3 linked regions of the Mus musculus genome follow. The protein of the gene in region 3 purifies or fractionates together with the protein of the main gene of each other region. This does not show direct contact. Links are inferred from orthologs where the notes say so. Each region holds a gene or a part of one and is shown on either strand. Other genes may lie near its edges.

Region 1 (10,894 bases), on a different chromosome or scaffold from region 3:
TTTACCTTTATTGCTCCTGTTTTATTTTACTGATTTTTTTTTAATACATCTGTGTTCACTGATAGACCCCTATTCTCCTATGAAGCAGACTGCTGATCTGTATTTGTTGGTTTCTGTGTGTGTGATGTGCTTCATATATGCAAGTACTCTGCCACAGAGTTACATGCTAGCCTTCTGTCATGTTAAGAAAACATTGCATGGGACTGGAGAGATGGCTCAGTGGTTAAGAGCACTGGTTTCTCTTCTATAGGACCCTGGTTTGATTCCAACATCCACATGGCAGCTCACAACTGTCTGTAGGCAGCATACAACTGTCTGTAACTCTAGCTTCAGGGGATTTGATGCCTTATTCTGGATTATACAGGCACAGCATACACATCCTGCACAGACATACATGCAGGCAAAACACTCATATACACGATACAAACAAACAAACAAGAATGGGATAAAGTACTTAGAAAAAAAGAAAAGATTGTATTTTTTTTCAAGTTTAGAAAATTATCAAGAATGAATGATTAAGTCAGACAGATGAGGTAAGCATAAAATCCAGCTATGCTGGAGGCTAAGACAACAGGATCAAGACTTGAAGGCTAGCCTGCCTTACACATTGCTAGTCCAGCCTAAGATGGAATGGTGGCATATACCTTTAGTCCCAGTACTCAGGAGGCAGAGGCAGAGGCAGGCAGATGTGGTGTACATAATGAGTGAGACCCAGTCTCTAAATAAAGAAGTAAACTGCCACCCTAATAGTGTCCCCTCACTCCCAAATAAAACGCACGTGTAAAACTCGAGAGTCAATACCCAGTATCGGAGGCAGGGGTATGTTACATTAATGGATATAATCACATAACATCTTCTCTCAGTTTTTTGATACGGAGTTTGCTTTGAATTCCATTAACAAACTTCCTTTAAAGTACTGCCAAGGTCTATTTAAAATTTGATTTAGAACCTCACACATTGGTGTAAGAGCACATAATTTAAAAAAATGGACCTATAGCTTTCTGCCTACAGATTGTGTTGGCTTTGAGTATATTTGCTTCATTAAATGAATTGGGGGGCTGGCAAGATTGCTCATTCAGTGAAGGGGCTGCTACTAAGTCTCATTACCTGCACTCAGTCACTGAGCCACATAAAAGTGGAAGGAGAACAGTGACTCTGAAGCTGTCCTCTGATGTCCATGTGAGTGCTGTGGCATGAGTATGCCCACATAGAAACAAATCATAAGTGCAATTTTAAAAAGCACTGAAAGGTTTTTATGGATACGTGTATACTCTGGAACAACTTCAGGCCATTAGACATCTGTCCTCTTTAAAGAAGTATTTTGTTTTTCATTAAGTTTGTATATGGTGCTTAGGGGTGAAGGGGACCCTGAAGATGGTCATGGCAGGGAAATGAACTGTAAAGAAGTGAGAATGAAAAATTGGTTCAGATTTACTTCATTAACCTAGATCAAGACTCTGGGGAGTCTGTTGCTGTGTGGTGTATTCCCAACAAATTTAAACGGTATAATTTGGAATAGCTTTCCTGATGTAATACAATCCTTGGTGCACAAGGAACAATTACACTGAAACTTAATTCAGGGTACATGTCATTTTTTCCGAGAAGATGGGTTCTAAAGACAGGAGGCTACCTGTACAAGCTTAATGGCCTAAGGAAGGGTCTGGCCTGTCTCCGTCATACTGACAGCAGAGAGGTCATCTGTGCTATAAGCCATCTCTGGTCCTGGTTGTGGGAGCTTGGAGGAGCCTCTGGCTATACAGATAATGTAAGGGTCATTCCTACTACTGAGTATCGCTGTCTGGGTTGTGGGAGCTTGGGGAGTCCCCTAGCTGTGAGGATCATTTAGATTACTAACTACTTTTGTTCCTGAGTTTATATTGGAGCTTGTTGTGGTCTGGTCCAACAGATACCACTGACCAGCAGCTTAGTCACTTCCAATTCCCAACTTTCTGGATGGAAAAACAGGTTTTGAGTCTTTCCCCTTGGAAAGACAATCCTGTGTGTATAACATTCCTGGTCTCCCTGGAGATCTTTGGGCTTAAAGACCTTCCTGCTGTGCTCTCAACCTAAGAATATCAAAACATTTATATTGTAGCTTGGCAGTAGCACGTGCTTTTAATCGCAATAGGCCAATGAAAGTGGATCTCTGAGTTCAAGGCCAGGCTGGTCTAGAGTGAATTTCAGAGCAGCCAGAGCTACACAGAGAAACCCTGACTCAAAAAAATAAAACAAAACAAAAATTTATACTATGAGGAACAAAATCTTGGCCAAAATAGTCACAGTCAGCAATCCTTTTTTGTTTCTGTTTTGTGTTACTTTGGTTGCTTGCTGTTTTCTCTTTTTTTCCATGGTGGGGGCAGTAAAGGGTTGTTTTTTTTTTTAAATAGTTTTGTATGTAGTCCTGGCTTTCCTAACTCAGTCTGTAGCCCATGCTGACCTCAAAAGGCATGTACCACCACTGCCTGGCTTGTTTTCCTTCTTTACTTTCTTAAGTTAACAAGTTATATAACTTTAAAATAGTCTTCCAATATTGACGTATTGGACCTGAGCATGGTAGCATATGCCTGTAATCACAGCACATGAGAAGTTGAGACAGGAGGATTGCCAAGAATTCAAGGTCAAGAGGCACATCCTGCCTCAAATATTTTTAATAATTTACCTGTTTACTTTTGTTTTATTGGATTTTTTTTTTTTTTACTGTTTTATTAACTTGAAACACTGTCTCATACAATGCAGGCCTCAGATTCTCTTTGTTCCTGACTGGCCTTGAACTACTGATCCTCCTGTCCTAAGCGCTTCCTCCTTCCAAGTGCTGAGATTACCAACCTGAGCCGCTGGGTCTGACCCGTTTTTTGATTATGGCCTTTAATTTGTGCCCTTCTTGCCTCTGCCTCCTGAAGGCTAATTGCAAGCAAGCCCCACCATGTCTGTCCTTCTGTTTCTAATTGAGTTCTAGTTTACTGATGTCGTCACTGGCTCCCTTTTAGCGCATTAGCTCACTCTAATGATTTTTTTCTAACTTTGAGGCAGCTATTTATTTACTTACTTCCCCCTATAACTCATGTAGATATTTTATGATTATTAATTTTCTTCCTCATTAATTTGCCTGTATTCTTGGGTTCCTATAGTTGTATTATTTATAGTTCTCTAGAAATATTGCATTTCTGCTTGGTATTTTTTTCTTAACCTGAATCTATAGGTTTTGCTATTGCTGTTAGATAGAGCTCTGTTTGTTGGTTTTCTTTTGAGATAATCACGTAAGTGCATTGTTACTAGAGTATTTGAGTACTCACTCATTGTGACTAGAGTATTTGAGTACTCACTCATTGTTAGTAGAGTATTTGAGTACTCACTCTATTGTTGTTTAAGATATATTGAGGTTTTTTCCTTATGGCCTAACTTTAAAAGTACCTTTTTCTTTAATTAAAAAAGCAATTAAATAACAGTTTTTGTTATTTATTAGTACATATTCATCTAAAGTTTCAAGATTATAGAAATCAATATTGAGCTCATAAGATAGTTTCTCTGAGGAGAGGGACACTTGGCCACCAAACCTGAAGACCCTAGTTCAGTCCCCAGGCTGGTGGCAGTGAAAAGCTGATTCTCACAAGTTGTCTTTTCACCTTTGCACAGTTACACATGTATGTATGTATGCACACATTAAATAGATGTTTCAAAGATTTTAACCAGTATGTGGCAATAACAAAATTGTAACACCAAAGTTAAAAATGTTATAGTCTGATACTGTCTTATTAAGATAGGTAATTTTTTTCTGAAGCGTGCCAAAAAAATTAATTTCCCATGTATAATTTGTATGTTTGCCGTAAAGAATGCTTTAAAATTTAAACTAAAATTTTAATTAAAACTACAAGATGGAGCTGGGCGTGGTGGTGCACGCCTTTAATCCCAGCACTCAGGAGGCAGAGGCAGGCGGATTTCTGAGTTTGAGGCCAGCCTGGTCTACAGAGTGAGCTCCAGGACAGCCAGAGCTATGCAGAGACACCTTGTCTCAAAAAAAACAAACAAACAGGGACTGGTGAGATGGCTCAGTGGTTAAGAGCACCGACTACTCTTCCAAAGGTTCCAAGTTCAAATCCCAGCAACCACATGGTGGCTCACAACCATCCGTAACGAAATCTGATGCCCTCTTCTGGAGTGTCTGAAGACAGCTATAGTGTACTTACATATAATAAATAAATGAATCTTTAAAAAAAATAAAACGCCTGACAGTAAAGCGACTCTTCTCACAGACCTGCTTTCCTCTCAGTGCAGGTCGGGCCCTCCTTAACAAACAAACTACAAGATATTGTGAATAAATAAGGAAAATATTTATACTTTATGGATTTTAAAAATAAGTTTGAAATTATGTTAGAAGATGTGAGTTTTGTATTAATGTGAATAGAAAATATTCTGTGGGGCTGGACAGATGCTCAGATGTTAAGAGCGCTGGCTGAACTTCCAGAAGACCTGGATTGCCTCTCAGCACTGATACGGTGGCTCACAACCATCTGTAACTCCAGTTCCAAGACATTCGACACCCTCTTCTGGCCTCCATAGGTACTAAACACACATGTGATACACATATATACATATAAGCAAAATACCCATGTCCACAAAAAAATCTTTTAAGACTTGTAAAAAGAAAAATATTTGTCTCCAAATATCTATAGGTAGTTTCCTTGTTTAATTTGGCAAGGTTAAGAGTAAAAGTCTGGAGGGTGCAAGAAAGCCAGAATTCCCAGTTCTGTGGCTCTTACATGAAGCTACTTGGGGTTCCTGAGTTTTGCTTCTTCATTCTACATGTGGGATAAGTTTTCTAGTGAAAACTGATTTAACAATCTCTAGAGTTTATGTATTTATGTATGTATTTATTTATTGTTCGTATTTTTAATCTTATTTCTTTATAATACTGTTTCTCTTCCTCCCCTCTCCTCCCCTCCCCCCCCCCTCTCTCCCTCTCCTCTTCTCTCTCTCTCTCTCTCTCTCTAAAAGAATTCTGATTGGTTGCTACTTTGACCTATAAGCCCTAAAGATGCCACCTTGCTTGGACTTAGAGGATGATCTGGATAAATGATAATTAAGACATTTTGGTAAGTGAAAGTTTATGTAAGAAATTCTTTTTTTTTTTAAGTCTACCTTTTTGGTTTTTCTTTTATTTTAAATTTGTTTTATATGTACTGTGTATATTTTGCATTCTTGTATGTCTGTATAACACATTCATGAAATTTCCAAGGAGGCCAGAAAAGGGTGGGTGACAAATGCCCTGGAACTGAGGTTACAAACAGTTGAAAACCTCCATGTAAGTTCTAGGAATTGAACCTGGGTTCCTAATTTCTTTCCCAGCATATTATCAGTACATAGAGAACCTAGCAATTTACTTTTATTTGCATGTGTGTTTATTGGTGCCTGTGGAGTCTAGAAGAGGATATTAGATCCCCTATAGCTGGAGTTCTAGGCAAGGTTGTGAGCCACCTGACATGGGAACTGAGCTTCAGTCCTCTCAAAGAGCACTTCACTGATGAACCATTTTACTAGCCCTGCTACTGGGTTTTCTAGGTTAATTTTATATCCCTGATATTTTCTTGAAAGTATTTACTACCTAACTCTTAATAGTTACCTTGAGACGTTCTTAGTATGTTTTAAGTAAGTGATCACATCTGTAAGTAGGAATGATTTGACTTCTGCCTTGCTTGTTTCTATGCTTTTTATTTACTACAGGCACTAGCTGGGCTGATATAATAGCACATACTTTTATTTTATTTTATATTTTGCATACACCTTTAATTCCAGCACTCCAGAGGCAGAGGCAGAGGCAGGTGGATCTCTATGATGAGTTTGAGGCCAGCAAAGTCGACAAAATGAGTTCCAAGACAGCAGAACTACACAGAGAAATCCTGTCTCAAAACAAGCAAACATACAACAAAGAGTTCAAGCACTATAATCAGTATGACCAGGGGTGAAGTGGGGCTGGAGAGTTGCTTAGGGGTTAGGATACTTGTTATTTTTGCAGAGAAGCCAAGTTCACTTCTTAGCACCCACACAAAACTATTGGATCCTCTAAGAGCAACATGTTCTCATAACTGCTGAGCCGTCTCTCCAGCCTCCACATCTTATTTCTATTGTATGTGCATATCTTGTAGGTGCATATGCCACCATGAGGTACAGAGGTTAGCAAACAGCACACAGAGGTGGTTGGTTCTCTCTGTCCTCACAAGGCGTGGCTACAAGTGCCTTTACACACTAACCCATCTCACCAGCCCTCATTGTATGGTGATCATTTTTATTTTTTTTTTAATTTTTTTTTTTTAGGTTATATCCTTTTGGTTTAATTTTGGTAATTCATGTATTGAGAAACATACCAGTTCCTTCTAGTTTTAACAACTTACTGGAAGTTTTCAAAAATTCCTTAGAGATCCTCTTTGAATCTCACTGCTTTAATATCTCCTTTTTAGTCTATGTATTATGTATATAATATATATTATGTATGTATACTTATCTTTTTTGAGGCCAAGCCTCTTTGTATCCCAAACTGGCCTTAAACTCCCTTTTAGCCAGATATGATCTTGGGTTTCTGAGATCCTCCTGCTTCCATCTTCCATGTGCTGGAATTATAGGTATGTATCGCTATGCCTGATTTGTGTGATGGTGGGGATCAAATCCAGGGCTTTGTGCATGTTAGGCAAGCTCTATAGCAACTGAGCTGCATCTTCAGCCTCCTCATTTTCTTAATTCATGTCTATTTATTTTGGTCAATTTGGTTATCTTATCAAAGAACTCTTTGTTTCGTTAATCTTTTATATTTTTCTTTTAATCCATTTTATTAACACCTATCCTAACATTTATTTTATCTTCCCCTTTTTTTTTGAAGAAAATGTTTAAACATCTGTTTATTTACTGTTGTGTGAGTGGGCTTGGTGTGTGTTTAAGTCAGATGACAACTTGTAGTTTAATTCTCTCCTGCCGTCATATGGATCTTGAGGGTCAAACTCATCGGCAAGCTTAGGAGCGGTCCTAGTCACCTGCTAAGTCAGCTCACCCGTCTGTGTCATGGCTTTCCAGCTACTAATTTTGGTTTGGTTTACTCTTGTTTAACTTTAATGACATATATCATTAAGTTATTTTTCTTTCTGTCCTACTTTGAAATGGTTGCTAAATACCTACAGTTTTTAGGCAGTTTCAAAACTCAGTCTTTCTCTTGCTAAGTAAGCAGCAGCTTTTTAGCCTTAAAATTTTTTTGTTAGTTTTATTTATTTACTTTTAATATTATTAGAAATTCTTAAATGTAGCTGGAGAAGTATAGTTATTTTATAAAGGATTTTTCTGGGTGCTGTTGTTTGAGACAAGAGCTTACTTCTGCAGCCTGGGGTGAGCTCAACTTATGATCTTCCAAAGCGCTGGGGTTGCAGGTGAGCACTGCTAACACTCAGATCTATTGATTTTCCTGTGTCACTTTGTATATTTCTCCCAATAGTCTAGTCTTAACAAAAAAAAAAGTAGCAAATAATATTATGAAAGGAAATTTTATCTGGTAAATAAATTACATCTTTTATAGAGGTATGGATAACATATTAAATAAAAATGATATGCTGACTATATAATGATAGTTTATAATACTCTGCATCCTCTCTTTTTCTGAAGGTTTACTTACTGTTCACTTTGCATATACTTCTGGAATAATACACCATGGTTTTGGATGACCTTCCAAACTTTGAAGACATCTATACTTCCTTGTGTTCATCTACAATGGGCGACTCAGAGGTGGAGTTTGACTCTGGACTAGAAGATGATGACACGAAAAGTGATAGTATTTTGGAGGATTCCACAATTTTTGTAGCCTTCAAAGGAAATATAGATGATAAAGACTTCAAATGGAAACTGGATGCAATATTAAAGAATGTGCCCAACTTGTTACACATGGGTAATTAATCTTTGCTTTCTTCTTGTTGCTTTGACATGCTTACTTGCCTACAACCATGATGCTAGGATTACAGGTTTAGGCTACCTTGCCTAGTTTTAAAAGTTGCTAGTAAAGTATATTGTAATTAAATAAATTTCAAATATATTAACATTAAAATTAGTATAGAGCTATCTGATGTGTGTGCAGAACACAGATAAGTTTCCAGTAATCATTAGATTGGAAGAAACTTTAGTGTCTTTGTCCTGTGGAGCCAAGATCTAAAGTTTTTCAGTGTATTGAAACATGTCTCCAAATGTGATGGAAAAGCAGGCTTAACACTTAGAGCTTGTCTGATTTCACTAGGTTTCAACTCAGCTTGCTTAGCCTTTCTCTGGGTCACAGTTTCCTTACCTTTAAGAGCACTTTGACTAAACATAGTCTAAGCATTTTTAAAATTTGTAAGTATATTAATCCCATCACCCTTAGCAGGTGGTCTGCTTTGTTCTTGTTTTACATCACAACAATAAATTCTGTGTTAATATTTTGTATCTAATGGTTTAAGAGCTGGAATGGGCTTAGGTGGCATATTGAAACGCTCTTCATGGATATCTGGATTTTGAGAAAGCATTTTCCTATAGAGCTATTTTATTAATATTGAAAGATGTAATTTGGGCAGTGTCACATACCTTTAATCCCAGCATTTGGTAGGCACAGGCCAGCCTTGTTTACAGAGTGAGTTCCAGAACAGCCAAGACTACACAGAGGAATTCTATCTCAAAAGAAAGAGAGAGATATAATTGAATAAAGGGTATGAACTGTTTAGTTGATCTGAGTTTATAACATAAGGGAAAATATTTTGTTTGGAGTTGCCAGATAGCTTTTATTTCCTTTCTTATCTGTGAAATGTAATTACAAACAATACTACTACCTCAGTTTACTTTGTAAATCTTTAATTGTAAAATACATATAGTAGAGTTTGCCATCTTTATGATTTTTATATATGGCTCAATGATTCTTAAATGCAATTAAAATATTATGCAACAATTACTAGTAGCTATTTTTATAACTCTTATAAAATTAAGATCTATAACTATTATATAATAACTTCTCATTCCCTACCTATTCAAGCCCTTAATAAGCACCATTGCACTTTTTTTTTTAATTTAAAAAATTAGATTTATGTGTATGGGTATTTTGCCTGCATGCATGCAATGTCCATAGAGGCCAGAAGAGGGCATCATATCTTCTGGAACTAGAACTACAGCCAGTTGTGACTTCCCTCTTGTGTGCTTAGAATTAAACCTTAATCCTCTGGAAAAGCAGCCAGTTATCTAACTCTCCAGCCCCCTTGCTTTATTTTTACCTACCCTATCAAAGCAAAATCCTGTATCTTTATTTCCTGTTTTATTTCCTTTAGCATAATATTCTCAGTGTTTGTCCATGAGCTGTAGCACATGCTAGGATTTCCTTCCTGTTTCAGGCCAAATATTCCACAGCATGTATGTATATACTACATCGTCTTACTGTTTATCTGTTGCTGGGCACTTGAATTCCTTCCGTGCTTTAGCTGTTATAAATAACGCTGCTGTAAATGTGGATATACTCTTCCATATTGTGCTTTCAATTCTTTGGACTGTATCCTTAGAAATACAAGTGCTGTATTATATTGCTGGGGACCAGCCCTGATATTCAGTTACTGAGGTGGGAAACAGCATCAGTCAAATGCCAAAGGCTGATGACCTCTGACCTTCTAACTCTCTCTTACTGTCTTGGGGGCCAGAAGCTGATGCAGTTTCATAGGGAAAAAAGAAGGGGGGGGCAGGCGCACATGTATGCACACATTCACACTTTGGCTGGGCCTAACCACCTGTTTCATCCATTTCACAAGTGTACATGCATACACATGTACCTACATACATATGTATGCCCAGACATATATAACATATATATATTTATATATATGTATGTATGTATGTGTGTGTATGTATATATATATATATTTTTTTTTTGGGTGGAGGAGCAGAGCCCCAAAAGCCATACTTTATTTCTTCTTTCCACCTTTTTATACCTTCTTACACAAAAGTTCTTTATAAAATTACCTCATAGATAAAATGTTACACAAATGGGGAGTTACAGTAGAATGTCAAAAGCAGTGTTTCATTCTATAAGCCCATTATAAGTTCAAAACAACAGTTTCACATAGCCTTGCTTTATCATAGTGCTCACCTGTGGTTTCATCTTTGGACCTGACCTAGAATCAATGTTTTCCTTGATCACAAATCTTTCTCAAATCTATTTCTCTTCTTAGTATAATTTATGAAAGCTTATCATACAGCCTTTACTTACTATTCTATGAAGAGGGGCACATTCTATTCTTGACTCTAACACTAAAACCATCTCCTTAAACTTTCTTCCTAAAATTATTTGAATTCTATAAAGTCATTAATTCATCTAAACAGCATTAATTCATAAATGTTTCATCTTCATGTTGAAGTCTGTAGGAAATTTGCTCAATAGAGTGGACTGATGCCCAAGAGTCATTAGGCTATGTAATAATGGCAGGAATCAGCCATTATTTTGCTGAAATGGCCAGCATATCAGCAGTGAGAAGCAATCCTGGGGCGAAGTCTCTGGGGCTGTGCCTCCTAGAAGGTCTATCACAACCATGCAAAATGGTGGGCCATCTCCAGGAAACTCGCTTGCTATAGCCTTTCCTAGATGTCTGGCTACTGTCATTATATAACTTTCTTTTTTAATTCCTCACCATATAGTTCTCTTAGTAGTTGTACTTTTTGTGTATTCCCATCATTAGTGCACAGGGGTTCCCAATTTCCCCCATATCATTGTCAACATTTGCTGTATTCTACTTTTATAATGACCACCCTAATGTGATATGGTATGTAGTCATTTGATAGTGTGTTAGGTTTGTTTGTTTATTTAGTTGGTTGGTTGGTTGGGTTGGGTTTGGTTTGGTTTTTGTTTGTTTGTTTGTTTGTT
Region 2 (10,894 bases), on a different chromosome or scaffold from region 3:
TTCCTCTTTCCCATAACAGAAGCTATGGCCCTGGCCATGTCATCGTGTTCCTGTGTCCCTTGCATGTTCCCCACCCTCCCCTCCCTCCTTTTGCGCAGACCCCATTACAATAAATTTTAAATAAAAACTTGTCTCTGAGTTCCTAAGTTATCTTCACCAAGCCCCCTGTTGTGTGTGCTCATGCCTCACCCCTCCCAGGGAGAGGGAGGGGTTCTTTGTTGACCTTGATCTTGGTCCCAACCTTTCCTGCTCTGCAAAGTGGTAGCTTCTCTCTTCTGAGGTACAACCTCTAGCTGCAGTACAACACAAATTTAGGGTAGGGCCAAGAATCCAGAAGTTATGGAGAGCAGATTCCAGGTCTTCAGGGAATACCCAATCTGAACAGGCACAGAATACCCACTGGAGATTAGGGATGCCAAGCTAGTTATTGATGCTGTCCTGTCTACAACCCAGCACCAGGCTGCACATACAGATCCCAGGGTCCATGGTTGACACAGGGTTCAGTAAGCTGCATTCGGGTCCCACTGTGGTGGTCATGGACTGCTTGCCCTGGCCCTTCCTAGCTTGCTGGAATTTCCATTTCTGGGCTTTGCTCAAACCTTTACAAAGACCCTCCCTTAAGCTTCCATCACGCATTGCTGCTGCTGCTTTCCAAGAGTAGGAAGGCTTCAGTTCTGCAGGCTCCCTTCTCTTGAAACCCCACGCAGTTCCCCTGCAGCCACCCCAAACTTAGACCTGTTTGCTTAACCCATCTATGCTGCTCAGGGTGCCTCCACCCAATCCTCACTGGTCCGTCTCTTCGCAGACCTAGGTCTCTGCCAGGATCCCCCGGTGACCGTTGGCGGGAGGGGCCGAGGACTTAGGAAGAAGGGGGTGCCCCACCAGGAGGTGCGCGTGAGAAAGGACAGGGAGGGGGCGAGAAAGGGCAGGGAGGGGGCACGAGTGGTCCCCAGGCCGGTTACCCAGGTAACACGGGGCCTGGCACGAGGTTCTCTTGGGCTATCCGGGAGGGGCAGGAGGCGTGCTAGGGGCGGGGGCGGCGCGGCAGCAGTGGAGCTTAGGGGAGGGGACCAGAGAAGAAGGGCCGAGCAAACCCGGAGGAGAGAGGAGGGGAGACCCGCCACCTCCCTTCATTGCTCACAGACTTGTTCCCTCCCCGGTCTGCGGCTGCTGCAGCAGCAGCGGCGGTGGCGGCGGGACGCAGGAGCAGTCCCGAGGCTGGCAGCGGATGAGACTGGGACCAACTGAGACTGCTGGTAGGTGTGGACGACAGACAGCTGGGTGGCATGAGAATGCAGGTGCCAGGCGAACTAGAGGGTGGTGCTGGGTGCGTCGTACCATCGGGAGAAGATCCCCTCCCCCTCAGCCTCTGCTGAAAGCAACAAGGGAACCCCTAAAAGAAGGGCTAAGAAGGTATGCACAAGATACTGGGTCTTCCCCAAGAATGGGGCTGGAAGGAGGTAGACGGGCATTTGAGCCCAAATGCACAGTAGGAAACCCTGCACTTCTTAGGTGGTGCCCAGAGAGGAGGGAAGGGTACAGAAGGAGCAGACTGTGTGGGGTCCTGGTCAGTCTGCCTGTTGGAGTGCCTGACGCATGCACAGATTTTCATGTTCTGGTGCGCCTTCGAGTTGGAAGCTGAGAGACTGGGTCTTGTTGGGTGTGTTGGATGGATCTAGGAACAGACCCAAGAGCAGTTCTGTTTAGAAAAGGGCTTATCTTCCCATGGCTCTCCAAGCCGACTTTAAAATACTTCTCCACCTTAAAGCAAAGGAAATCCCAACTTTTCCTCCTCTCCCTAGGGACAGTACAGGCTAGCCTTGAAACAGAATCCTAGCCCTCTTGAGCCTGTGGTGATGAGAGACACTCTTCCCTCCTCACCAAGCCTGTCTCCTCCTCTTCCAGGATTTGCTACTGTCACTGTTGTCTCCTCTTCCCCACGGGCCCTCTCCCATCTCGCTTCTCTAAGATGGCAGCCAGCAGCTCTCAGGTCTCTGAGATGAAGGGGGTGGAAGACAGTTCCAAAACCCAGACAGAAGGTCCCAGGCATTCTGAAGAAGGACTAGGTCCTGTCCAGGTTGTAGCAGAGATCCCAGACCAGCCAGAGGCCCTTCAGCCGGGCCCAGGCATCACTGCAGCCCCTGTGGACTCAGGGCCTAAGGCAGAGCTGGCACCAGAAACCACAGAGACCCCAGTTGAAACCCCAGAAACAGTCCAGGCCACAGACCTCAGTTTAAACCCAGAAGAAGGCTCCAAGGCCAGCCCCAGCCCCAGCCCCAGCGAGGCACGCCAAGAGCCAGCATCCAAACCAGATGTGAACAGAGAGACTGCAGCAGAGGAAGGGTCTGAGCCGCAGTCTACAGCCCCTCCTGAGCCAACCTCGGAGCCTGCTTTTCAGATAAACACCCAGTCAGACCCTCAGCCAACTTCCCAGCCTCCTCCTAAACCACCCCTTCAGGCAGAGCCCCCCACCCAAGAGGACCCTACCACAGAGGTCCTGACAGAAAGTACAGGGGAAAAACAAGAAAACGGAGCAGTGGTTCCCCTTCAGGCTGGTGACGGGGAAGAGGGCCCAGCCCCCCAACCTCACTCACCACCCTCAACTAAAACACCCCCAGCCAATGGGGCTCCCCCCCGTGTGCTGCAGAAACTCGTTGAGGAAGACAGAATAGGAAGGGCACACGGTGGGCATCCAGGATCTCCTCGAGGTAGCCTAAGCCGTCATCCCAGCTCCCAGCTGGCAGGGCCTGGGGTGGAAGGGGGCGAAGGCACCCAGAAACCTCGGGACTATATCATCCTTGCCATCCTGTCCTGCTTCTGCCCCATGTGGCCTGTCAACATTGTGGCCTTCGCTTATGCCGTCATGGTGAGCCCCAAGGGACCCTGGCCCAAGTGTACTGTGGCTCTCAGCTTCGTGCCAGTGTCAGCCCAGAGCCCCAGTAATGACACCTTCCCTCACCTCTCTGCATGGATCCCACTTTTCCAATTGCTGGCCCTTTGCTTGTCTCTCCCCAGGACCTAACCTTCCAAGGCACTCCTGCCCGACCCCTTCAAGCGGGAGGGAAACAGATGTGTCATATAATCTTACTGACCTGTACCCTCTTCCTCCTGCGTCCCCAATTCTCCTTCCTTTCTCAACCCCATTGGGCTGACCTTCCTCCTCTGGACTCTCACCTGATCCCTGCTGGGCTGGCTCCTGCTGACCTGGGCCATGATACCTCCAAACCCCTCACCCTCACCCCAGTCCCGGAACAGCCTGCAACAGGGGGACGTGGATGGGGCTCAACGTCTGGGCCGAGTAGCCAAGCTCTTAAGCATCGTGGCGCTGGTTGGGGGGGTCCTCATCATCATCGCCTCCTGCGTCATCAACTTAGGCGGTGAGTGGGGGTCAGGGACAGGAAGGGAGGCGCGGAGGGTTGACCAGGGCAGCTTTACTAACCCCTGACCCTGCTCTCTCCTGTCTGTCCTCCCTATGCCTTTGTCTCTTCCTGTCTCCTTCCCTGTCTGTCTTTCCCTCTCCTCTCCCACAGTGTATAAGTGAGGGGCTCTGCCCTGCATTCCAAGACTTTTCTTCCTGTTGGGAGCTGTCTTGGGTCCATCCCTGTCCTGGGAGAATCCCAGTCCATGGCCCTGGCCCCCATCTCTAGGGACCAAGGGAGCCTGAGCGGCCTTGTTTACAGCTTCTTTCCCCCTGCATCCTGCCAGGCTCCTCTGCCAGCCATAGGCTTCCTTTCTCCCTGCACTTTTGCCTGCAGACCCCCACCCCACTCCTGCCTCTTGACCTCCCTAACCCTGCACTCTGAAAACCTCTCTGCACTTCTGGAAGCCTTCCTGAACATCTAAATTGTACTCTGCACCTCTGCATCTCTCCCAGCCTCCCTGCACTTCTTCCTGCCTCTGGAATCCTCTGAACCTTATCCCTGGCCTCCCAACGTTCATTGTCTTGGTATCTAACCCATCCCGTTCTCCCCTTCCTTAACACCGTTTTTCCCCTTGCCACGTCCCCTGACCCTTTCTCCCTTTTCATCTCCCCCTTAGCGTCTTCACCCTCCTGCCAACACTTAGTCTGCAAAAACTGCAGTACTTAGGTCAGGCTGAGGGAAGAAGGATGGTGTGGGGAGAGGAGCCTAGCTGGGGGCTCTGACTGTTCTCTACTGGGGACCACCCAGGCCCAGACCATACCCTACCCCTACCCCTAAGGTGCCTATTGGGTCCCAAAGCTGGCAAGTGAGTCCTCACCTGGGGGACCTTCTGAGAGTCCTTATTCTGAACATCCAGGGGAGGAAGGGGCATAGCTGCGCCTGAAGAGTCAGCCTGAATTGATCTGCCCGTTTGGGCTTTTTAACCTCAGAGTTTCTTGTTTGAAGGTCTATTTATGTGCTTTGTAAACAGTAGAATTCAAAACAAAACAAACAAACAAAAACAGGACCAAAGTTCCCAGCTGCAGGGAGCAAGGGAAGGGTGGGGGAGCTCTGTAATTATTCTCTAAGAGGATGAGGGAGGTTTGTTGCACGCGACAGCCCTCTGAGGAGGCAGAGAGCCAGCTGCGATGCATTTCAGAGTTGGCGGGGTTTTTTGTTTGTTTCCTTTCTTTTTTAAAAAAAAAAAAAAAAGTTGGGGGAAAACTAAAATTCCTTTTCAAAAAATAAAACTGAGTCTCCCTTTTTGTATGCTGAATGCTGCATGAGTCTTAAACACTAATAAACAGAGAATGCATGAGACTGGCCTCAGTTGGTCCCTGTGTTTGCAGAGTCAAGGTACTGCTTTCTGGCAGGCCCTACTGAACGGAATACGCATGCGCTGCCGCAGTGGCCATCTTTAGTATGGGCCGAGGTTAATGAGTCCTAAGGGCCAAATTGCGCATGCGCAAGTCTTCTCTTTCCTCTTCCAAGTAGCTTTGACTACCGCGGAGCCTCCGCGCGCCATTTCTCTGCGCCTGCGTACTGAGATGCTGCGCAGCCTGGGAGGCGGGTTTTAGCTCCAGGTTTGTACCGCTGCTGAGTAGACGCGAACTAGGTTTGCCCGGTCTAAAAAGATGACTTCCATCCCGGTGATGGAGAAGGCGATGTGAAAGCGAGAAAACAGGCCCTTCCCTTTCCAGCTCCGAGCGTGTTTCCTGCGGGTCCCTGGGAACGGCAGAATTCTGGGTCCGTGGGGTGGGGTCTGTCCTTGCAGGGGTTTGAGCGCCCCCTCCTGGGGACGGTGCTCTGGCCGCAGTCAGCTGTTGGACTGACTGGCGATTTCCTAGACCTAGAAAGGCTCTCCAGCCTTTCGGGTGAGGCGCACTGGTTTGGTACTCTAGAATCTCCTCTATTGCTGGGCTTCTTCTCTAGTACTCTATGTCCCTTGCCCTGGGCCATGGAACCATTGCAGGCAGCACAGCAGCGCCTCTGTCTGAAGAAGGGGAAGTGACTTCCGGCCTCCAAGCTCTGGCGGTGGAGGACACTGGAGGTCCCTCTGTCTCGGCTAGTAAGGCCGAGGAAGAGGGGAAAGGCAGTCAGGAGGAGGCCGGGCGTGAGGGATCCAGGCCTGAGGAGGCACTAGAAGCTCCCAGCGCTGCGAGCGACGAGCGTGCGGAGGGAGAAGCCGAAGACTGGTGCGTGCCCTGCAGCGATGAGGAGGTGGAGCTGCCGGCCAATGGGCAGTCCTGGATGCCCCCACCCTCCGAGATCCAGCGGCTCTATGAACTGCTGGCTACCCAAGGTACTCTGGAGCTTCAAGCAGAGATCCTACCCCGCCGGCCGCCTACCCCAGAGGCCCAGAGTGAAGAGGAGAGATCAGACGAGGAGCCAGAGGCCAAAGAAGAGGAGGAGGAAAAGTGAGGCCATGCTTTACACATTATTCCCGGGACTGCTCTCCTGAGCACGGAGCCTGGAGGGAGGGGAGAGCAGGAAAGGATGAGGCGGCGGGCTGGGGTGTGCCAGCGGGTGTTAGGGAGTGCTTCTCTCAACCTTGGCTTTCTGTCCACCCTGTTTCAGGCCGCACATGCCTACAGAATTTGACTTTGATGATGAGCCAATGACACCAAAGGACTCACTGATTGACAGGAGACGGACACCAGGTACGGATGAGAGGGAAGAACTGAGGGGAGGTAAAGGGCCTCCCCTAGTTACCCCGCCCACAAGTGGGCTGGTCTGAGGCCTTGGCTGGTTTCAGCCATCATCTTGACCAGCAGTGGGACGGAGCATTCATACAGTAGCATTCACACAGTAGCAGCATAGTTCTGGCTTAGGTCAGTGCCATACTTTCCTATCAGGGACCCCGCAGACCTTCCCAGAAGTTCAAAGTTTGTTGAACACATCTCTGAAGTACTATGTTCATGCCCAGAGCTGACCTGACATCCCAGCCTGTGGGCCTTCCTAGAATATGCTTTTAGAATCATTCTGGAGCTCTCTCGCAGCCGGCCAAGCCAACAGCAAGTTGCATTAGCTCCGCTTGTACAGATCCACCATTGTCAACCAGAGGAGTCCTTTTAAGTGAGGTCCCGTCTTTCCTCAGCTTGTACTACTCCCGAGGATTCCATTCCAGAGAGGAAGAGCATGTCCACGGAGAGTCTTAAGTTTTCTGGCCTCTACCCCTGCCCCAGGACCTTTGCACATGATGGTTATGTTCCCCAGCCATTGCATTATGGGTATCTTAGTCTAATACCAGCCATCCTGTGTGTGGCCCAAACCTAAACATTAGCTCCTCTGTGCCCCTGAGGCCTAAGAAGGGAGTATTTAACAAGATCTCTAAGTGTGGGCACTTGGAGGGCTCACGTCTCAATGCTGTCATGTTTTCTACCATCTTAGGAAGCTCAGCCCGGAGCCAGAAACGGGAGGCGCGTCTGGATAAGGTCCTCTCAGACATGAAGCGCCATAAGAAACTAGAGGAGCAAATCCTCCGGACCGGGAGAGACCTCTTCAGCTTAGACTCAGAGGGCCCCAGCCCCACCAGCCCTCCACTCCGATCCTCAGGAAACAGTCTCTTTCCCAGACAGCGGAAGTACTGACTGGTGCTGCTCCTGCCTACAGGTGCAGACTGTTTTGTGCTGGGCATGGCCAGCCTTTCCCAACCCAGGCTCTGGGGAACTTGTAATGGGGAAGGCCTCAGGCTCCCAGCGCAGTGCCTCTCAGGAGAGTGCCTGTGTGTTCTGTTTAGTGTCTGTTCGCAGTTTTGAGCTGGATGTGCTAAATCTAATAAAAGATGCCCGATGAGTTGGGCGTGGTGGCGCACGCCTTTAATCCCAGCACTCAGGAGGCAGAGGCAGGCGGATTTCTGAGTTCGAGGCCAGCCTGGTTTACAGAGTGAGCTCCAGGACAGCCAGGGCTACACAGAAACCCTGTCTCGAAAAACCAAAAAAAAAAAAAGATGCCGGGTGATCTTCTCAGAGGAGAGACTGCAGCTCAACCCAAGCACGCATTCTCACTTGGGCAGAGGCAGAGCTGTGTTCCTCCACACTGTAATATTGAAGCCAGAAGAGGCAGAGGCTCAGCCAGCCACCATCCCCCACCCCCACCCTTACTGCTGCATCCTCTGATTTCCTAGTCTCGGTCCAGACCCGCCAGTTAGCACTGATTCAGAAACTGCCCCCAGCTGTGGTGACTTCAGTGCAGCCTGGAGGAGCAAAAGATCCAGTTGCAGGGCCCTTTAAATACACAAGCTCCGCCCCTGCCTGCCCAGCCCATTAGGGAAGTCATCCCAAGTGTTGGTGAGGGAAATTCCTGACCTGTGGCCTGCAGCAGCCAGCTACCCTGCTAAATGTGAGTACGGATCTTGTGACCGTGGCGGGACCCCCAAGACTCCAACCCGGGAGTAGATGTCTGTCCCACAGGCTCTCTCTAGTCTGACTGCTTTCCTGCGACGTTTCTTCTGGGGCAGTGACGTCTCAGCAGTTACAGGAAGGAGGGCGTGGGCAGCTCTGCCTTGTGAGGTTTCACTTTCTAAGACTTTCAGGGTTCGAAAGCACCCTGTTAATGTCCTCGGCCCCCAAAACCTCAGGCGTCCCTGACATAGGGTCTCCCTCACAGGAGATGGGCGGTAAGGGGACTTTTGTCAGGCCCAGTAGCACACATGTGCCACTCCCTACTCAGAAACCTGAAGCAGGAAGGGTGCCTTGCACTTAGCAGGAGAGACCCCATCATTTCTGTTTCTCTTGTTTGGTTGGTTGACTTTAGGTTTTGTTTTGGGGGTGGTGGTTGTTGTTGAGAAAGGGTCCTCCTCAGCCGGGCGTGGTGGCGCACGCCTTTAATCCCAGCACTTCGGAGGCAGAGGCAGGTGGATTTCTGAGTTTGAGGCCAGCCTGGTCTACAGAGTGAGTTCCAGGACAGCCAGGGCTACACAGAGAAACCCTGTCTCGAAAAAAAGAGAAGGGGGGGTCCTCCTCATTTTTTCTAAGTGGTCTTGAACTCTCTGTGTAGCTCAGGATGACCTTGAACATCTAACCTTCTTGCCCCCACCTCCTGAGTGAGTGCTAACATTATAGATTTCTGTCATGAATATCAGTTTTATTCAGAGCTGGGGCTCGAACCTAGGATTTCATGCATTTGGGACAAGGACTCTACAACCTGATGGGTAGAGTGTGACTCGGTGGCACAGCATACTTACATGTAATCTCAGCACTTGGGCAGCTGAGGCAGGAGGGTCTCCAGAGGCTTGGGGCCAGCCTGAGATATAGTTCCACCACAGCCTAAGCTACCGTGTAAGACCCTGTCACAAATAACAGAAGCCAACTGGGCAAAGTTACAGCTTCCACTCAGACTCCATTGCTGGCTTTTCCCTTCTGCCGTCACTCCAGAGGATCCGGGCTCTACCTTCTCTGAGTGACTGGCATGTGTGACTTCACCTCCTTGATTCCCTTCTCCACTGGTCGTGGAGGCTTTTTCCTGCTGCCCTGGGCAGGGCTGTGCGAACCATGGGCCTTGGCCATCTTTTCGGTGGTGAGCGGGACGATCACAAGAGTAGCTTGGTTTCCAGGAGGTGCAGATTTAATGAGAACGAGAGGAAAGCTTTAGGGGAAGAAACAGGAGGAAGCTCAATGGACAGCCGGCCTGAGGGTCTGGGGACTTGGGATTGGTGACTATTGCCCAGCTCTCGTGGGAGATGGTGGTTGACAAAGCTGTTCCTTCTGCCCTGCCTGCCTGTGGCTCCCTGGGACATGAAAAAGAGGCTGGCCATCACAGGATATACCTTTGGCACACAGGATATCTATCCCCACCCTGAGGTGGGGCACCTGGGCAGGACAGCTACCACCTTTGCCATCCTGGGCGCTCGATGCTCAGGCCTGCTGTGGTATCCCACACTCTTCTCGTGTAGCCAAGACTTCGCTGGCTCCGCGTATGGAAAATGCTCGCCTTTGAAAAGCCATTTCAGCTGGGCATGGTGGTGCACGCCTTTAATCCCAGCACTTGGGAGGCAGAGGCAGGCAGATTTCTGAGTTCGAGGCCAGAGTGAGTTCCAGGACAGCCAGGGCTACACAGAGAAACCCTGTCTTGAAAAAAAACAAAAAAGAAAAATAAAAGCCATTTCCTGGACAGCAACAAACCGGAACAGGTCCTCTGTGTCCCCTTCAGTGAGACTGGCTGACAACCTGGTGCTGACAAGCCATACTGTCTCCAGGAACGCCAGGGAAACCTGGCCAACCATCCAGGACCAAGCCGTATGGCTGGGCTAGGTCTTGACCTCAAAGGCTAGAATGAGTCATCAGAAGGCATTGGACGTAGGGTGGGCGATTCCTGGAATCCTTGATTCTGTGAATCTGGAGTAAGGCCTGAGAAAAGTGTGACGAGGACTCAATGTTAGTCAGAAGCCAGGTGTGGAAGCATGGCAATTGTTTTATCCCCAGAGTTTCAGGCCAGCCTAAACAACACAATAAAACTCTTCTTGACACAAGCTGGAGAGATGGCTCAGTGAGTAAGAGCACTGACTGCTCTTCCAGAGGTCCTGAGTTCCATTCCCAGCAACCACATGGTGGCTCACAACCATGTGTAATGGAGTCTGATGTCCTCTTCTGATGTGTCTGAAGACAGCTAACTACTTACATAAAGAAAAGTTTAAAAAAAAAGAAAAATCCCAGTCAGGTCTCGTTTAGGAGAGAAAACCTTAATGGAGATCAGGGCTCCTGAGTCAGTCTAATTCTAGTCTGCACACTCTTCATTTGTAACATTTTGGGGGGGAGGGGCTGTTGAGGAGGGGCAGAGCCACTTGGCACATGGTGAGGCCACCAAACTGTGTCACAGTTAAGGTTAAGGCTTTCTTTTTTTTTTCCAGAGCCTGCCCTTAGCCTGGCCTGCCTGTGTTACATACAGTATCACAGCCTGGGCTACCACTCCAGCTGTCGATTGGCTAAGATTGTTTGGGGGAGGGGCTAGTGAGATTGCTGCTGAGCCTCTGCTGGCCTGGGTTCAAGCCCCAGAGCCAACATGGTGGAAGGTGGGATCAAGGAAGAACTCCATTGAGGACAGGCCCTGCTTATACTGAATGTAGGTAGACCTTTTCTTAAATCCAAAGTAGGCAGCCATCTGGTGGCTGGGCTGGGTCACCACCTTCCCCTTCGCTCTCTGTCCTCCCAGGATTAAGAGAACAGCTGGGGACAAAGGGAGCTACTTGGAGCTAGGCAGGAGAGGAAGGGTTTTTATCAGGAAGGCAGGAGAGAGACCTGTGACAGTGTTAATGGTTAAAGTAGAAGGTGCAGGAATGGTCCCAGTGATGATTTTAAGGTGAAGTAGAGCAACTGGAACTGTCACCCACAGGAGAGGGGCTGTTCAAAGTGGGATGCAGTCACAGGAATGGAGGGAGGCTGGAATGGGCTAGCCACTGAGTTGATGGTCTTGTTCTCCTGAAGGCGGAGATTTGAGGCCTTCAGCTTCACAGTGAATTCACAGCTACCCTGGACCCACCTGAGAAAGAAGAAAAG
Region 3 (10,794 bases):
TTAGATTTTCTGTGTGCACCAATTTGTTCTTCGAGATACTTCTGCTGCATCTGAAGCAGCTGCTGAGTCTCCTGTAGCCATTCTTCATACTGCTTACGCTGAGAGTCATCTGAGGGAAGAACCAAAATTCAAGTGTGTTAATTTTTCTAGGTAGTCCAAGATTATTAAAAGTTAAGCAAATTCATTTGTAAGAAGACAATTTTATTGTGAATATTTTAAAGAAAAATTGAAAACAAAATTCTAATTATTAGAGTCCTTTATAACTATGAAGTATCAGCTTCTAGAAAATTGTATTTACTCAAGAAAGCCAGAGAATGCTCAATTAAAACACTAGTTAACTTAATGCTTGTAAGTTCTGCAACTCCAATCTTCCAAAAGAACCATCAAATTATCTAATCCATAAACCAAACTGTTTAAAAATGTTGTATTTTATTAATTCAATTGTACAGACTGAAGAGGCAAGGAAAATATATCCCAGTAACATCAAGAGCATGGATTACGTAGTCATTTGTAATCAGTCATGCTGATTTCAGTCATGCTGATTTCTCTAAGTTTACAAAGTCTTCCCTACATCTTTGTAGTGGAGGAAAAAGGAAACAGGGAGATGAAACCCAGAAAACTCTAAAAAGAAGCACTTGGAGGTCTACATTTTATAAAGAAAATATATTAAGTTTAAAACACTGGTAACTTCCATTAATTTTGTAATTTCTAAGTCTACAGGGGGAAGTGATAGCTAAGCAAGCAAAGCCTTCTCATCTGTCCTGGACGGATTATATCTTATATCTCTCCCCATTACATCTTATCGTACACTGAGATCCCGTCCTTGTTCTCCCAGAGCACATTATTCCATTGATGCCAAGTCCCCAAAAAAGGTTAGCTCAGGTAGTAAAAAATTGAGTATTCCTTTTTGACTATAAAACAAAGAAAAACACAATCCTAGAAGGACATTAGCTGAAAATAACATCAATGATAACAGAATATTGCCATACATTAAGATCCAACCAAATCCAATGGGCACAATACAGCCAGAAAAAGCCAGTTGGTCATAGTAGTTTACTTATTTTTAATACAAATGTGTATTCAAATTATGATCATAATTGATGCGGGGGAATTTCAAAAGGTTAGACTTTGGGTTTGTTCCTAAACCCAGAAGTTCCAGTATATGTATGAAGGTGCAATCTAGTGCACTAAATTTGAAGGGCTTTTGTCAAGAACAGGCTTTTTCACAAGGTTTCAGAAGTTCTGCTTCTGGTAGAATGAGACCTACCGCAAGGAAAGCCTTTCTGGTTTCTGGAACCAGGAGAGCAGAGGTGAGCAAAATGAAAGATAATGGTGAAAAAAGTTAGCTAAACAGTCTGAAGATTTCAGAAAGGTTCAGTTTGAGGGAACGTTAAATGCTATCCTGAACCACCTTGGGACCCCTAAGGACAGCTAGAAGGGTTCAGTGGCCTCTTGCACACTTGACCTTCACACCATGCTACAACCCAGCTTTTAAATATATTCCCTTTGTTTTTCCCCATTTAGTGTCCTCGTTATAGGCAGACTGTCATGAAAGCAAACATGGTTTAATGCTATATTGGGAAAGAGGTAAATCTATTTTAAAAAAACAACAATGTTGAAGAAAATAGGGAAGATGGTTTTCCTGTATTAAAGTATTTATTTCTAACTAGTTCCTCATGCACAGCGGAAAAAAGCAATGAAAACACATGCCTTGCTGTAAAGATGCCTAGGACAGTGACCTCTGATAGGAGAGGTATCATCTACACTAATTCCGAGCTTCAAAACAACACAAATATAGTCAAACAAGCAATCCCCAGAAAACAGGTAACTTATTAGATTTATACTTACTGACAAAGCCTGGACCAAAATTTGGAGGATTAGGCCTAGAAATCTGATGTGTTATACTGCCATCCTAAAATAAGTAAAATTTACAAATATGTTTAATTCCATACTTCAACTTAAGGGGGGGAAAAACTTCAAAATGAAGGAAAAAAAATGAAAAAAAAATTCATTTTATTCATAAACACATGTTCTACATTCACTAAACTATACTATATCACAAAAAGCTAATTATAACAAGAATTAATATAGTATACATATAAAAGAAAATGCACTCATTATAATGTTAGTCTTGTGTACTAATAATATGCCTTGCTTCTTTCATGGTGTTTGGATAGCTGATAATTTCACAATTTCCTGGCCAGAACCTGATAAATAGAATCTTTGATTCAAATTCCGTTAGACATGAGCTATTATGTTCAACAGCCAGAATATGGCATGTTCAGCCCTATAGTAAGTACTGCAGGGAAGCTGATGCAGCATTTGATAGAGCACAGTTAAAAAGCTCAAGAACTTGCTCAAAGTGCACACTGAATTCACAGTCAAACTGAGAACTTAGAAAACTCAGCTACAACACTTAAGCCTTTCCAGTATATCAAAGGGTGTTTATATTCTTAATAGGGAAAAAGCATAAATTATCTGTATAGTAAATATAAATGATAACTGGCAGAATATAAGATAATTCCCAAAGCACACAGATCAAGGTACCCCCCTATACCAGGCAAACATATGTTTTAAAAATCAACATAGAAAATAGCACATGAAAAGAGTTACTGTTTCCAGACTTCATAACATGAACATAGCATCAATGTTTAAACTTGAGCTCATTATAGATGCTCAATATTAAAAAAAAATCATCTCAAGGAATAATTATACCTAATAGAATGATTACAGACATTTTCCACTACTGTTTCCAATAATTATACATTTTAAATGTGATGGATTAATTCCAATTAGCAGGATATGAAATGTCTTTCGAGAGTTAGAAATGAATATAAAGCCAGAGCACTTCGCTTCCTTCCAAGTGACTTTCTATCATTAACGTGTGCAAGTCCTTTGCAGAAATTCTCGTCTTTAAATCTGTCTTTATTTTACACAGCAACAACACATCTTTATTTCACTGTGTTGCCAGAAGATCAGCTCCTATTCCTTTCTAGGAGGGGCTTCATTATGATTTGGGTTTGGTAAGACATAGTAGGTCCATGTGTCTTCCATAAACCAGTGATTCGAGCAGCATTACCTGAGCTACAGCTTGTGGCACTAGGGTCTGGCCGTCATTGTTTTGTGTTCCAGCCACTGATGGGCCCATGAAGGGGAATCTGTAAAGAAAAGCGCACAGCATCAACTGATGAGCTCAGAACAAATCACACAGGTACCTAACACTCCTCTCTTCCAGGGGAGAGAAGAGTAACACTGGAGACTTCCGACAACTGGCTTCTGGATGCTCAACAGACCTCTTCTCAGTATGCACTCAGTACCTTCCCATTACTATGGATGACCGCTCAGAATGGGTAGGCCACTATCTTCATAGGGACCAGTAAAGCTGCATAAAAAGCCAGCTAAACTATTGCAGAGCTTGGGCCCTCATAGGTTTCAGAAAAATAATTTTTATGATACGTTTACAGTGAAAAATCTAGCTTCAATACACAAACAAGGAAGTTTTTTTTCCTAGTTGCAATCTTTATTAAAAATGGATAGACTAAGCTTGTTATTTCATGAGAAGTTGATGGAAGAGGAATGCCACAAGTTCGGGACCAGCCTGAGCTACATAAGAGTTTCAAGCCAACTTGGACTATAGACTAAGACATTGGGGGTGAGAATAAGGGGTACTACTTAGCTCTTTTATAGTCTAAAACAAAAATATCTCAAATAATTCCACAATTCTTGTACGCATTTGTATATAATGATTATACCAAATTAAAAAAAAATGAAACTAGTGATTAATCTCTATAGTTAAATCCATTTGGTGAAACCTTATTAATTCTAATTAAACTAGTAACTGGTATAGAATCATTATGGCTTATTTGAAAACATGTCTGTCTTATTAAGCCACTGAATGCTTTAACATATTAAGATATACATAGGAAAAAATTTTTTAAAAAAGATATACATTGAACACAATTTCAAAATAGATCCAAAAATATTATAAAGAAGCATTTAAATGTTATTAGACTTTAGAGTGTATACTTGTGATTTTTTTTTCCCTCAGAAGTTTGATTCATTAATCTCCCTTCTCCCTACTACAGCTCTGGTACAAAATAATCCCAATCCGATTAATGCTTGCTCTCTGCCATCATCATGTAACACACTACACTAATCTCAGAAGGCACTACCTTAGTTCTGCAAAGAACTCAGAATGGTCTCCAGTACACTTAGCATGTGGCTGATAAAGCATTGCATGTCTAATGAGCACAGACACTTATGTTGAACATATATGAGATGCTGAGAGTTCTGATTCTGAGGCCCATGAAAACAATTAAGGATCAAACAAAATCTAGCATTTCCTTGACTCTGAGTATCAAGTTAAAATACAGTATTATTTATTATTTATCACAGTATTATTTATTAATACTATACTCTCACCAGTAGGAAACATGATTTTCCTACAAGTGTTGCACATTCATAGTAGGTAATTACCAATCTTTACCTTGTTATAAAATATAAAACTTAGAGCTAAGTTTGTTAATGCATTATGATACACACATATCAAGAATATAATCAGAGATTATTAACTATGTTACAAATGTGGTCTATTTCTTTTTGAATTTGTATTTTTATTACCTGTATATCTGAAAAGAATTTCAAAGGTTTCATGGTTTTAAGGTTAAAAAGGCTTATGCCATAAAGTTACCTTGAGGGAAGAACAGTGCTAATAAATCCAGCTAGGTAGTAAAAATCTTTACAAATCACTATCTTTACTTTGACATCAAAAATGTGTCTTAATCATACTCAGTGTATTACACAGTTCCCTAAAGCCTATGTCTATATCTTCAACTTATACAATTCTATATTAAATTCTACAATCATTTGCACTCCCTATTATAATTTTTCAACAAGATCATCACAATAAATTGAGATCAGAAATCAGAAACAGCAATACAACACAAAGATCATTCAAGGTACTTGTCAAAAATACAAGCATTCAGACACCATTCCTAGAAAATCCCATTCACTAGGTCTGTAGAAAGGTATAGAAACTGCATTTAAAAGTGTAGTGATGGGGGCACACAAATAATCCTTAAGTTAGAAAGTGATCAAGATTCAGCACTTCACTGGGGTACACAGCCACTGTAACTTAACGATTACTCATCTCTAATATCTCTCTTGAACACACAATTTCCATTTTTCTGTTAGATGTTAAAATTATCCAACTATCCCAGTCTCAGTATCCAAATGTTCCATAAATTACTGTTTTGCCTTTTCTAATTCAAAGTCATGTTGGGACAATTTCATTTCAGAGCTAAATTGATAATTTCCTTAACCACTGAAATTCTTGAATGAAAATCTTAGGCTAACACTTCTTTAAATAAAAAAGTAAACACACACAAACAGTTTGGATTTCCTCACTGACCAAGTCAGTCTTCCTAATGTTTGAGTGGTATATTATTCTGTTTATTTTCCCTAAAATGAAAGGAAATTAATTCCCTGCATTCAGCTGAATTGAAATACTCTTTACAACCAGAAGGTAGGCTTTTGAGGAGCTCTAAGAAGTAGGGGTGTTTTTATGTACATCTACATGCCAGGAAGAAAAAAAAAGCACTTCTACCTACCTGCTCATCACCATTGGTGGCATGCCCAGACTGTTCTGTGCCATCACTTTATTTATGCCTTTAAGGGCTACCATTTTCGCTTTCATTATAGGATCTGTAATAGCATCAAAATCTAAAGAAGAAATGTATTTTGACATTACTTACTTCATAATTTAAGTTCATGGCTCAAGATATATGAAGTGGTAAAATTAAGTATCACAATTACATAATTTATAAATTCTTATACCTTATTCAAGAATCATTATATGTTTCTACACCACATAAGGGAATCTAGAAATGGTAGCTGCATTTTAGGTGTCTATAACTGAAGCATACTTTAAAACAAGTCTGTCAGTCTACAGGGGATCACAACAGTGATGTTCAGCAACGAGAGTCCCAGTGGCTCAAACCTTCACAGTGCCAATTAGAATGATCTTTTTTAGTAATGGACTGAAAGGAATGAGAATTTACAGTTATTTCCAATACTAAAGAATCCCTCTAAATTAGTTATCAGTTTTTAAAAGAAATAAAAAACTACCAATATCTCCAGGATATACCTACAAAATAAAAGTATGAGGATAGTGAGAGCATCTCTTTGCATACATATAAGTGGGAAAAAAGAGTCAAATAATGGAATTTGTACCACATGTTGATACAATGCTTTTTGTTATTAGTTAGAAAAAAATACTCCTCAGATATATGCCTGCTGACTTAATTCTTCTAGGCAAAGCACTGAAGTGTTTGGGTTACATGGACTTGTGTTTTTATTAAAACTAATAAAACAACAAAAATAAGTTGAAAGATGTGTCTGTGGGGGATTAAAAAAAAAACCCTAAAATGCAAAAAACCTTTACCAAACACTTGTGCACAAAAGAACAAGAAACTTTATTTCTATCATAATTTCCTTACATTTATTTCTCATAACAATTGGCAGATAAAACTAAAACCACCATCAACACCATATAAAGCAGAACTGAGTGAGGTAACAATTCAAGGTTATCTTAATTTTGACTGACCTGGAAGGAATCTAAAATTCATCTTTTCATTGTAAAGACCCGAGAAGACAGAAAATTCTCAGATTACACTGATCCAAATGTAATCTCAATAATGAAAATTTACAAGCATGCTGCATGTACTCAGATGCCCCCAGTAACTTATTTTGAGACAGAAGGAATTTCCTACCAATGTTAGGGAAGAATGGTTCTGACCGCTGACGAATCATGGCTTGCATTTGTCTTTGCTGTTGCTGCTCCTGCCTCTCTTGATCCAAAAGATCTTGTAGAAGCAGAGGCTGTTCCTCTAGAAGGAGGGGCCTCTCTCTGTTCTGCTGGGCTAATGTTTGAGGAATCATGAGCTGCTGCGGTCCAGACATGGTGCTGGACTGATTCGTGAGAGGCACAGTTTGATTTGTAGGTTTCCCTGTCCCTAAATTATGGTTCACTGATGATTGGCCCTGAATGAATCCTGGATTTACTGGCACACCCTGAGAAAAAGCATGGTTTATCCTAGGGACCACTGTTACATTAGAATTCACGGTATTATCCAAAAGAGGGCTAGGTGGTACTATTAAAGTAGGAGGCAAACTTGACCCATGAGTGGATGGTGAGATGGGCAGACTTGGTGGGGAGGACCCTGAAGGCCTAATGTCTGAATCATCACACTTCTCATTAGAAAGTAAACTCGAGAGAACTGGAGTCGATCCTGTTATGTCACAGGAGTTCATCACATCCCGAGCAGGCAGAGGAGTGGACCCTTGAATGGCACTGACAACAGGCCCAGCATTCTCCTGGTTACATCTTTTCTCAAGCATATCTTGATCAGTAGTCAATAGAGCAGTCTTTCCTCTGTCACTGTGATTGGTCTGAGCAGAAGCAGCCTGTGAGCACGCAGTATCCGCATCACCTCTACTGTCATCATGGTTCTTAATCTCACTCTGTATTTCTTCTTTAGAGTAGGGAGACAGGGCTTCTGTCTTTATCTCACTGCTAACACTGGACTTTCTCTGTGGCAAATCCTTATCTTCAAGAACCATAGTTTTGTCTCCTTGATCCCTTGTTTTTGGTTCAACAGATGCACACTGATTATCTAGCTTATCATCAATTGGAACATTAAGGTCTAATTCTTCATTGAACATGCTTTTTTTATCCCCTAAGTCAAGTTCTGGATCTGTGTATGCAATGATATCAAATTCACCTGACCTTAGGAGGTCATCCAGGTTAGGGTCATTAGTTTCCAAATTGTCTAAAGTGTCCAGGTCATCACCCTTGCCATCCTCTGTGTCTAAATTTAAATTTTCTAGATCTTCATCATCCAAATCTTTGACTTCAACCCCCTCAAGATCTTTCACATCCAGTTCTTTCACAGAAGGATCATCAGAGTCTAGTTTTTCTTCCAGGCCAGCAGAAGACTGACCAGCTATCTCTAAGTTATCTGGTGATGTTTCAGCTGGGGTAGATGTTGACAAAGGTGCCTCAGAAAATTCACCACTTAAAGGATGATTTAGGGGCCTCATGACAATAGAAGATTGGTGAGCAGGATGACCTTGCTCTTGCTGAGAAGGTGGGACCTGCTCTAAATTTGGATGCACAGGTAGCTGATTGGATAGACACTGGGAAGGCTGTCTTATGGGGTCTGTGTGTCTAGGGCCAGGAAAATCAGGTCTGGGAAGGAAATTTCCATGCCTTGGATGTGAAGGTGACTCTATAACACTGCTAGGAGAAGCAGCAAATGGCAACCGTGACCTTCCATCAGGGGCTCTATGCCTCAACTCAATAAATGCCTGGCCTAGTATATTATGTTGCTGAACTGGCAGACCCTGTGGTGGGAAATGCTGAGGAAGCCCAACTGGATTATTTAATGGTGGGTTATTTGAAGGTCTAGGCATTTCCATAGACATTGGTCTTCTTATGTGTGGAGGAATTCCAGATCCTTGTATTTGCTGAGGCACATGGAAGCGATCTTGGCTTGGCATGGGACCATGGCCAGCTCCTGGAAATCCAAATCTAAAAGCCAGAAAGAACCAACAAATAATTAAGAATGATAATTTAGAATTGAGATGAGAAAAGTAAAAGAAGTATTAAGTTACTCTACAGATTATAAAAAAAAAAACTGTTAGTAAGCTCAATGATAGTGAAAATAGGAGTTGGAAGAGAAAAACATGATATCAAAATACATTATACACACGTACACACTATATATACACACACACATAAACAACACTTTATTTATTTATTTTATTATTATTATTATTATTTTTTTTTTTTTTTGGTTTTTCGAGGCAGGGTTTCTCTGTATAGCCCTGGCTGTCCTGGAGCTCACTTTGTAGACCAGGCTGGCCTCGAACTCAGAAATCCGCCTGCCTCTGCCTCCTGAGTGCCGGGATTAAAGGCGTGTGCCACCACACCCGGCTATTTTTTTTTTTAAATAGACAAAACTAAAAGTGTTTGCCCTGTAAATGATCTGAGTATGACTCTCAGAACACATAAAGGAGAGAATTTACTCTACAAAGTTGGTCTCTAGCTACCACGTGTGTTTTGTGGCTCACACACTCAAGTAGAAAATTTCGAAAGAAAATGAAAGTCAGACAGACACTGCCTGGACTTGTGGCTTAGCCACTAAGTACTTACTGAACAAGCGCAACAACTACATTTTATATACCCTGTACACATGCACACAAGCCAAGCATGATGGTGATGGCTATAATCCTAGTGGGGTGGAAAGGGAGACAACAGCATCCTTAGGATTGACTGAAAAGCTAGCCTTGCCACATCAGTGAGTTCTAAGTTGAATGAGAGATCTTATTCCCCAAAAATATAGGGTAAAAAACAATAGAAGAAGACACTCAGCATCTACCTCTTACCTTGCACATGTATATACACATCCTATACAGACACACAAATTTTTTAAAGTGCACAAAACAGCAATGGGTATAAACTACAACTAAGGTGGAATAAAAAAGGAACAGAATATAACAGACATAGGTGTAAGATTAAACTGTGTGTCCTCTAAAAAGCACACGTTAAAGATTATTCTCCTTATAAGAATAGTAAGAGTGCCTTGATCATACATGTTGGCCCACCCTACAACCCAACTGTATCAGTCTCTAAAAGGAGGCATCTTTCCAATCTGCAACTCTCTACAAACATCTTACAATTCAACTAAATTGAATAAAATGCATCATTATCATCTAACATATTATTTTAAAGAATAAAATGTATCATCATCTAACATATCATATGAAACTTCATTAGGATTTAATAGCTACATTTTGGAAGCTATGATTGGGCAGGTAAGATTATGATGTCAGAGCTAGAGAAAGTACCCAAGGAGTTAAAGGGGTCTGCAACCCTATAGGAGGATCAACAATATGAACTAACCAGTACCCCCAGAACTGTGTCTCTAGTTGCATATGTAGCAGAGGATAACCTAGTCGGCCATCAATGGGAGAAGAGGCTCTTGATTTTGTGAAGACTATATGCCCCAATAGAGGGGAATGCCGGGGCCAGGAAGCCGGAGTGGGTGGGTTGGGGAGCAGGGAGGTGGGAGGGTATAGGGGACTTTCAGGATAGCATTTGAAATGTAAATGAAGAAAATATCTAAGGCAGGCGGATTTCTGAGTTTGAGGCTAGCCTGGTCTACAAAGTGAGTTCCAGGATGGCCAGGGCTACACAGAGAAACCCTGTCTCAAAAAACAAAAAAAACAAAACAAACAAACAAAAAAACAAAAAGAAGGAAAAAAGAAGAAAAACCATAACAATTTCTTGCCAAATAGTAATGGTATTTGTCCAGTTCCTTCTTCCAATATTAACTTAAATATAGCAGAAAATTAAAAGCATTACCTGAATCCATGAGGCCTCATGCCCATACCAGCAACCTCTGGAGGATAGGGTCCACGCTGATCTTTGGGGAAAACTGCATATCTAGGTCCTAGTGGAGGGATAACAGGTGATCGAGTGCTCCCAGGATAGGGAGGTGGAGGTCGAGTGAAAGCCTGGTTGATGCTCTCTGGCTGCCAGTGTGGAAGGGGCACTGGGTGAGGTACTACTGCTGTATCCTGAGGCCCCTTCTCCTGGCGACTAGCAATCTTCTTCTGCTGTTGTTGCTGGAGAATGATTTCACGCAGTTTCTGCCGCTAAATGAAAACAAAATTGCTGGGATTTATAATTAAACATTTTTTTAAACTCTTAACATTTCCATTATGTGACTA

The links.
Region 1: the proteins of Kmt2c (region 3) and Ncoa6 purify together in Homo sapiens (co-immunoprecipitation; 7 studies listed by BioGRID and IntAct, with this or other methods). This does not show direct contact. The link is inferred for Mus musculus from reciprocal best matches to the Homo sapiens genes KMT2C and NCOA6.
Region 2: the proteins of Kmt2c (region 3) and Pagr1a purify together in Homo sapiens (affinity purification with mass spectrometry; 3 studies listed by BioGRID and IntAct, with this or other methods). This does not show direct contact. The link is inferred for Mus musculus from reciprocal best matches to the Homo sapiens genes KMT2C and PAGR1.

The regions. Positions count from the first base shown.
Region 1 is NC_000068.7:155,434,884-155,445,777, reverse strand, and holds the start of Ncoa6 (nuclear receptor coactivator 6), read left to right. Parts: upstream 1-4,994; 5' UTR 4,995-5,090; intron 5,091-7,638; 5' UTR 7,639-7,683; coding exon 7,684-7,918; intron 7,919-10,894. UniProt on the Homo sapiens protein: Nuclear receptor coactivator that directly binds nuclear receptors and stimulates the transcriptional activities in a hormone-dependent fashion. Coactivates expression in an agonist- and AF2-dependent manner.
Region 2 is NC_000073.6:127,011,367-127,022,260, reverse strand, and holds Pagr1a (PAXIP1-associated glutamate-rich protein 1A), read left to right. Parts: upstream 1-4,908; 5' UTR 4,909-5,339; coding exon 5,340-5,818; intron 5,819-5,978; coding exon 5,979-6,061; intron 6,062-6,791; coding exon 6,792-6,991; 3' UTR 6,992-7,210; downstream 7,211-10,894. Other genes in the region: Prrt2 (proline-rich transmembrane protein 2), read left to right, coding at 1,970-2,866, 3,245-3,445; Mvp (major vault protein), read left to right, coding at 7,741-7,742. UniProt on the Homo sapiens protein: Its association with the histone methyltransferase MLL2/MLL3 complex is suggesting a role in epigenetic transcriptional activation. However, in association with PAXIP1/PTIP is proposed to function at least in part independently of the MLL2/MLL3 complex.
Region 3 is NC_000071.6:25,302,830-25,313,623, forward strand, and holds part of Kmt2c (histone-lysine N-methyltransferase 2C), read right to left. Parts: intron 10,720-10,794; coding exon 10,427-10,719; intron 8,591-10,426; coding exon 6,771-8,590; intron 5,722-6,770; coding exon 5,610-5,721; intron 3,159-5,609; coding exon 3,080-3,158; intron 1,913-3,079; coding exon 1,849-1,912; intron 1,291-1,848; coding exon of another isoform or gene 1,268-1,290; intron 110-1,267; coding exon 1-109. UniProt on the Homo sapiens protein: Histone methyltransferase that catalyzes methyl group transfer from S-adenosyl-L-methionine to the epsilon-amino group of 'Lys-4' of histone H3 (H3K4).